Ovis aries: one gene and its partner. The protein of the gene in region 2 purifies or fractionates together with the protein of the main gene of each other region. This does not show direct contact. Links are inferred from orthologs where the notes say so. Each region holds a gene or a part of one and is shown on either strand. Other genes may lie near its edges.

Region 1 (3,994 bases), on a different chromosome or scaffold from region 2:
GTACCGCGCGATAAAACCATTGGCTAAAAAGTGACCGGGAGAGACCGGTTAATTAAGAGAGAGTCTGATTGGATGAATTACTTCTACACCTATTTCCTATGCCTTTTTTTTTAAATCTAGGCGACCTGAAGGAATTTTCCTAAATTGTTTCATCTTATTGCCAACTTCAATGTACATAACGAGCCATTTACCCACCATGTTAACTTTTGATTCAGTATACGGGTGGGACCTGATATTCTTAATTCTTGACACGTTCTCAAGATTGTCAGTATTTCTGCTCCAATCCTAAATTGAATACAATTGATCTTTCTCCCCCACAGTTGGGTCAGCTTTAAGTAAATCTCGAACTACCAGGACTACCACTTTCTAACTTTGGTCATCAGATCTCCCCTAATTCTGAGTTTATCTTCTGTAAAACTACATGCCAGGGTCCCTGGGTGGATGATTTTAAAAAATCACATGCATGCAAAGGTGGAATTGATGACATATATACACTGGATCCTGATAAACTTCCATGGGGGGGCGGGGGGATTGTTTTAAAATTTTGAAAGCAAAGGCAAGAGAAAAATAATCTTGGCAAGAGTAATTGCTTTTTGTTATCCTCAAGACTAAGTACCGCTCTAGTCTCCCCTTCTCTTTATAAAGGCCCTTGTGGATTACAAAGGTTTCGCCAGCTATGCAGTAAAATAATGCTTGTGAGAACATTTCCAGAGTCTTTGTTTTAATGTCATTTGTCTTTTTACAATTAACCACCTACGCAGCATAACCTGGCTACCAGCTTTTTTTTTTTTTTTTTAATAAAAATGTGGATGGCTGTGAAAAGTCTTTGAATAGTTTATTAAAAAGTTTCTTCTTTTGTCTAGGCTTTACTTCCCCTTCGCCTTGTGGTGACTCTCCGTCTTCTTGGGCAGCGGCACCGCCTGGATGTTGGGCAGGACGCCGCCCTGAGCGATGGTGACTTTGCCCAGCAGCTTGTTCAGCTCCTCGTCGTTGCGGTTAGCCAACTGCAGGTGACGCGGGATGATGCGGGTCTTCTTTTTGTCCCGGGCCGCGTTGCCGCCAGCTCCAGAATATCAGGCGTCAGGTACTCCAGCACCGCCGCCAAGTACACCGGAGCGCCGGCTCCAACCCGCTCGGTATAGCTGCCCTTGCGGAGCAGGCGGTGCACTCGCCCCACTAGAAATTGTAAACCAGCCCGGGAAGACCGAGTTTTGGCTTTAGCTCGAGTTTTGCCTCCTTGTTTACCACGTCCAGACATAGTTACTTTGTAAAACTCAACAGCAAAACTTGTGAGCAGGAAAAAAAAAACCCTGGACGACCAAGGGGGGATAAAAATATTTTTTTAATAGACAGTAGAGGGATGCGCCACTTAGGTCTCCTATTGGTCAGAAGGACGAAGGTTTTTCTATCCAATAGAAAGAGAATATGTGTATCCCTTATTTGCATAAACCCCTCCCTCCAGACCTTAGTGAACCTGTACTGATCTTACCCAATCAAAAGTGAGAATTTTTCATTCCTCATTTACATTGAAGCGCTATAAATATCTGGTTTTTGAACTCATACTGGTAATCTTAGTCGCGGAGGCTATCATCTAACGTTTCTAGGGCAAAACAATGCCTGAGCCGTCTAAATCTGCTCCCGCTCCTAAAAAAGGCTCTAAGAAAGCCATCACTAAAGCACAGAAAAAAGATGGCAAAAAACGCAAGCGCAGTCGTAAAGAGAGCTACTCTATTTATGTGTACAAGGTTCTGAAGCAGGTCCATCCAGATACTGGTATCTCATCTAAGGCCATGGGTATCATGAACTCCTTTGTGAACGACATTTTCGAGCGCATCGCGGGCGAGGCGTCACGCCTGGCGCATTACAACAAGCGCTCGACCATCACATCCAGGGAGATCCAGACGGCCGTGCGCCTGCTGCTGCCCGGGGAGCTGGCCAAGCATGCTGTGTCTGAGGGTACCAAGGCCGTCACTAAATACACCAGCTCCAAATGAGTGCCTGCATAGGCAGTTAATCCAAAGGCTCTTTTCAGAGCCACCCACTTTGTCGAAGAAAGACTGTAACTGCCGTTTTCTCGCGCGGTAAATGCAATTCTGTCCTATTGATTTAAGCATCTACATCTACTCTAGTGGGGTTAATAGTTGAAGCAATTTTGGAGCCAGAACCTCTAGCTACTTGAAAAGTCTCTTGGCATTTAAGAGACGTTCCCCGAAAGACACATCTTCCCGTTTCCCATGGACTAAGCATCCAGATGCTTGGAAATGCTCACTCTTCACGAGGCCTCTTAAAATTTTTGATGGTGATTAGAATTTTCCTTCCGGGTAAGGAAGTGGTTGGGGGGATTTCAGGGTCCCGATCCTCAAGGCATCTTTATGCAGGTTGTCTTTTCAGGGCAGGTTGCAGGGAAGGCAAATCAGTGGGGTTTTCTCCCTGTTATTGGGGAAACTAAGCAAAATCACCTGTTGTTCCTTTAGCAAACCGCGGACACTTTTATAAGGTATTAAACTCTGCACATGGTTGAAATGAGATTTTCTAATTTCTCATTATAATTGTATAGTGATGGAAACAGCCAATGTAAAGCCGTTTCCATTTTTCTTGCATTCCTGATATCTGGGTTCCAGTTTCCTGGGTCATTTACCTTCCTGGGATGGCACTAGAAGAGGTTGAAAGTGTGGCACTCCCAATTCTAGGAGGGGAAATGGTTTGAATTTTCTGACCTCCCCATCTGGTGTCACCTCATTTGCAGACTAGGAGGGCCCCAGGTGGAGAGGAAGGTGTGCTAATTTTTCTTGGGAAAATTTTTTAAGAGAACATACTACTCCCAAAATAATCCTGATAGGAAGGGCCTTGGTTGTGGAAAAGGAGTCAGTGGGGCTGGATGAGGGGAAGAGCCACGAAAAGTCAGCGGTTGACTGCATATTAAAAAGGTAGGGGAAAGTCTTTTCTTTGGTTTATAAGCACCATATTTAGGTGACATACATCAGTGTGTTTGGATAAGGAAATAAAAACTCGAAGTAGAATTTCTCAAAAAGACCACTTTTAAATTTTGGAGTTAAATGAACTTTTCCCAGATCCCACACAAATTAGGTGACTGCTATATGAGAAGACTTCCCTGTCTCAGCATACATAAAACATACCTGTGAAACAGAAGCTTGTCTTAGAAGTTAAAAATCTTGGTTTTTAGATTGTAACCCCCTCCACTCATCTCTGGGGGGAAAAGAAAGAAAAATTGAACTCAAGCTGCAGTTTCAGAATTGCTCTCTGGAGGGATGAGATCTTAGTGGTAATATAATCTCAGTCTCTTCAAAATTATCTCCTGGGGTAGAACTTATTATTTGCCTGCTTGCTTGCTTCTATCTTCCTTCTCCTTGCCCCTTCCTTTCTTCCTAATAGTTGATATTTTACAGAACTATATACAGTCAGCAAAAAGACCAGGAGCTGACTGTGGCTCAGATTATGAACTCCTTATTGCCAAATTCAGACTTAAATTTAAGAAAGTAGGGAAAACCACTAGACCATTCAGGTATGACCTAAATCAAATCTTTAATGATTATTTCAGTGGAAGTGAGAAATAGATTTAAGGGACTAGATCTGATAGAGTGCCTGATGAACTATGGATGCAGGTTCATGACACTGTAGGAGCAAGACCATCCCAAAGAAAAAGAAATGCAAAAAAGCAAAATGGCTGTCTGAGGAGGGCTTATAAATAGCTGTGAAAAGAAGAGAAGTGAAAAGCAAAGGAGAAAAGGAAAGATATACCCATTTGAATACAGAGTTCCAAAGAATAGCAAGGAGAGATAAGAAAGACTTCTTCAGGGATCAGTGCAAAGAAATAGAGGAATATAATAAAATGGGAAAGACTAGAGAGCTCTTCAAGATCATTAGAGATATTAAGGAAACATTTCATGCAAAGATGGGCTCAATAAAGGACAGAAATGGTATGGACCTAACAGAAGCAGAAGATATTAAGAAGAGGTGGCAAGAATACACAGAA
Region 2 (3,643 bases):
CACGTTTCTAGGTGAAACCTAATTCTAAGGAATCACTCATGCAAGCATTAAAGACAGAGAAAACCACGCGCCAAAACCCGCCGGCACACGGGGTGTGCTGACCCCACCGTCGCCGGGTCTGCAGACTCTGGCCCGAGCGGGTCAAAGCACCTAACTGCTTCTGGACCTGCCTGTAATCCTTTCAACGCGCCTCTAGAGTCGCAGAGGCGTTCCCCGTGGCTGGCAAGAATGCCCACCCTAACGGCAGACTCGACACGAGGCCACTGCTGGCCAACCCCCCACAGGGCTCAGACGGGCGGGTGTTGGGGGGTCGCCTCGTCCACCCGAGGCCTTGATCTGAGCATCACGGGCAAGGAGCAGGCAGGACCAAGGCCCCCCCCAGACTCTTCCCGGATATGTCAGAGGCCAGCCCGGACAGGCGGACGCAGAAGGGAGCAGCTTCCCGGGCTCGGCGGCGACGGGCATCCTCGGCGCCACCCTGTTCAGAATCCAGCTGCCTCGCTCTGCAGAACAGCAGAGCAGGTGGGGGCGGGAGGCCACGGCACAGGCAGGGCAGGGGGCTGGGAGGGCCGCAGACCCCCATGTGGACCCCCCACTGCCCGCAAACAGGTGCACGCGCAGGCAAGCTGACACGTGCCCGGGACACGGAGTCCCCGCCCTTGGAAACCCGCCCAAACGCTCATCGGGAGTCTGAACACATCTGTCACGCCAGCACCGGTTTTCTTCAGGGAGGCGAGAGGGGCCGAGGTGTTACTGGGACCCAGGAAAGGAGGAGCCCCGTGACAGCAACGACCAGGTCCAACTCCCTGCTGGAGGCCTGGGCGCAGCCCCAGAGCGTCTCCCCAACCCAGAGCGCTGGCAGACCCGTGAGTCCTATTCCCCGGGGGGCCCCAATCTCGGCGGATGGATAACAGCGCCAGTGGGGTGCAGGGCCCTGTGCTGCGGGCAGAGAGCAGTCCGGGAGACAGCGGGCAGTGCGGCAACAGGTGGACAGCACGTGGGAGGCGAGGGGAGGGGAGGGGGACCTGAGGGGCCAAGCGCAGACCCGGCAGGTCTCAAGGACAGGAACTGTGCGCCCTGCGACCAAGACTGTCGCAAGCGTGCTCACACGCGGACCCTCGGTGGGCACTCCTCAGCCCTGCACTGCTCGGAAACCACTTATATCTTCATCTCTAGACAGTAAACCCCGTTTCTCCAGGCTCCGCAAACACGCCTGCCGTTCAAGGGCAAACGACAGCCCGCACTGGGGAGCGCTTTTCCAGGAGGCAGATCGCAGGGAGGCGGGTGACACCGGGGATGACCCCCCGCCAAGTTCCTCCTGCTTCCACGTTTCCGGTCCAGCCCGAGCACTCCCCCGTCCTCCGGACGCAACACGGGCTCCGAGAGGCCTCCTGTTGCTCTTCCCTGAGAGCACAGCCCGCGTCGAGGCACGCGGACTCAGTGGACACGGGAATCAAAACGAGGGCCCAGCTTCCAAGGCCCGGAACCAAGACGGAGGCTTGCGGTGGCCGGGGTGCGACCCTAGGCACCCAGGCTCTGTGGCAGCGGCCCCCCCACCACCACCTTCCACCTGCCTTCTCCCCGATCTGCTGGTCCTTGGAGAGGCTGGTGATCATCTTCACGTCCTCGTCGGTCAGCTCGCCCACGGCCACCTTGTTGTCCTTCTTGGCCACGTGGTTGGCAAGGATGACAGTGGCAAAGACCGGGAAGCCGTTGGTGGTGTTGAGAGCCCCATCATAGTTGTTGTGGTAGATGCCGGTCAGCTCCTGGGGGAGGCCGAGAGGTCAGGGGGCCCGACCTGGTGCGGGCCCCACCTTGCCTCTCCCCAGGGCCCCTGGTCCGAGAGAGCTGAACTCAGCAGAAGTGTGGCACCCGGCCGCTGAACCCCAACAGAAGCTCGGCCCAGCAACAGAGAGCTGACCACTGCCCAGCCACAGTGCCCACACCAGCCCCCTCGGCCCTGGGCACTCACAATCTCGTCCCCCGGCTTGCAGCTGTCTACCAGGTCCGCGAGGAGGATGGCGTCCTTGGAGCGGGGCAGCCGGCCCGCTGCCACTTTGCCGGGACTCTCTTGGATTCGGATGCGCTGGTAGTTCTGGTAGATGGTCTGCAGAGGACAGACACGGACTCAGGGGCCGTCCTGCCCGGGGGCGGATGCCGGGGTCTGAGCACCGGCTCGTCACCTGACTGGACCGCGGCCCCGGGCAGGGAGTGCAGCTTATTATCCTCACTGGTGACGAGGAGACACAGGCCGAGAGGGCAGGGAGCCACGGGCACTGGCACCCCACCCCACCTCTGCTCCGGCCGCCTCCCTCCACAGACGCATAGCCCGCTCCGGGCCCTGCAGCTCATCCCGTGCGTGTGGCTGTGGGAGCTGGGCTGCTCTGCGGCCTGAGCTGAGTGACGCCGGCGGACGAGGCTCCCTGTGCCACCCCGTGGGGTGGGGCGTGAACACTGCAGGTGAGGCCACACGGGAAGTCAGGTCACGCGAAAAGCATCAAACCAGCACCCAGGAAGCGAGTTACACCGGAGGTGGGCCTGCTCTCAAATCACGGGGCAGCGCGGTGCGTGCAGTCTAACAGCCCCGTTTCCCTACCATCCAGAAGAGCTCCGTGACGGTGGCTACATGCTCGCGGTCCGGGTCAAAAGGCCTGAGTTCCAACCCTCTGGGCCACCTCCTAGCCGGACAGCCTGCTGTTACTTTATCGGCCAGAGAGGACCCAGGACAGCACCTGCCCCCACGCGGCGCTGAAGACCCACTAACGCAGGCCCGCCCTGGGCACCGAGCACGCCCTCCGGGATCTCCACTGTGAGGACCACTCCCCACGAGTTCCTGTCCCCGCACGCAGAGCCCATGCCTCTGCTCCTAGGCAGGAGGCGTCCAGAGCAATGTGTATGGCAGGGTAACCCTAAGTGGAGGGGACCAGCGAGACGGGGGCGGGGGTGGGGGCCTCTGGGCAAAGGCAGGGGCTCACCTGGAGCCCCGCCCAGCAGCCACCCTCCCCAAGTCAAGGTGCACCTGACTTTGAACAGGTCAGACTCTGGCAGTGGGCTGCCAGGCACTCCTTGGCAAGGCAGCTCCAACCTGGGCGCTTCTCAGATTTGTGGAGCAGTGAGGGGTCAGCCTGACACTCACGGCAACAGACGGTGGAGAGATGTGCACCCCACACAGGGGTCGTGATGGCCCCCCAACATGGACAAAACCGAGCATTAATTACATGTCTAGGCGCTTAAGGCCCAGAGCCTTCAAGTAGGGCCTCCCGCAGACGGCACAGCAGAGTCTCCCTACAGGGCAATCGTGACCTTGCGAGAGGCCAGACAGGTCCCAGGGAGTCAGGACAAGCCCGCCACTTGCTGTGGGCAGGGCTCTGGGGGAGCAGGGGCAGTTCTCCAGATCTTCCCATTTGCTAGAGAGCAGTAAACGCTGATGTTTCAGACGGAAGCATCTGGACCACCTCGAGGTCTGGCTGGCACTCACCTCCTCCATGTTGACCTCAAAGGGGCCGGCTGACTGGCACTCGGGGCAGGAGCCCGGCTTCACCTCCTGGTTCTGGGACTGGCAGAAGGGCCCCAGCACGAAGCCGCACTTGTTGCAGTTGTACTTGACCATGCTGAGCTGGGGCAGGACGCCCGTGCAGCTGGT

The links. The genes of interacting proteins can lie anywhere in the genome.
Region 1: the proteins of MCM2 (region 2) and histone H2B type 1-B purify together in Homo sapiens (affinity purification with mass spectrometry; 3 studies listed by BioGRID). This does not show direct contact. The link is inferred for Ovis aries from reciprocal best matches to the Homo sapiens genes MCM2 and H2BC3.

The regions. Positions count from the first base shown.
Region 1 is NC_056073.1:30,871,894-30,875,887, forward strand, and holds the start of histone H2B type 1-B, read left to right. Parts: upstream 1-1,567; 5' UTR 1,568-1,613; coding exon 1,614-1,994; 3' UTR 1,995-3,994. UniProt on the Homo sapiens protein: Core component of nucleosome. Nucleosomes wrap and compact DNA into chromatin, limiting DNA accessibility to the cellular machineries which require DNA as a template.
Region 2 is NC_056072.1:59,783,080-59,786,722, forward strand, and holds part of MCM2 (DNA replication licensing factor MCM2), read right to left. Parts: coding exon 3,479-3,643; intron 2,108-3,478; coding exon 1,973-2,107; intron 1,767-1,972; coding exon 1,575-1,766; intron 1-1,574. UniProt on the Homo sapiens protein: Acts as a component of the MCM2-7 complex (MCM complex) which is the replicative helicase essential for 'once per cell cycle' DNA replication initiation and elongation in eukaryotic cells.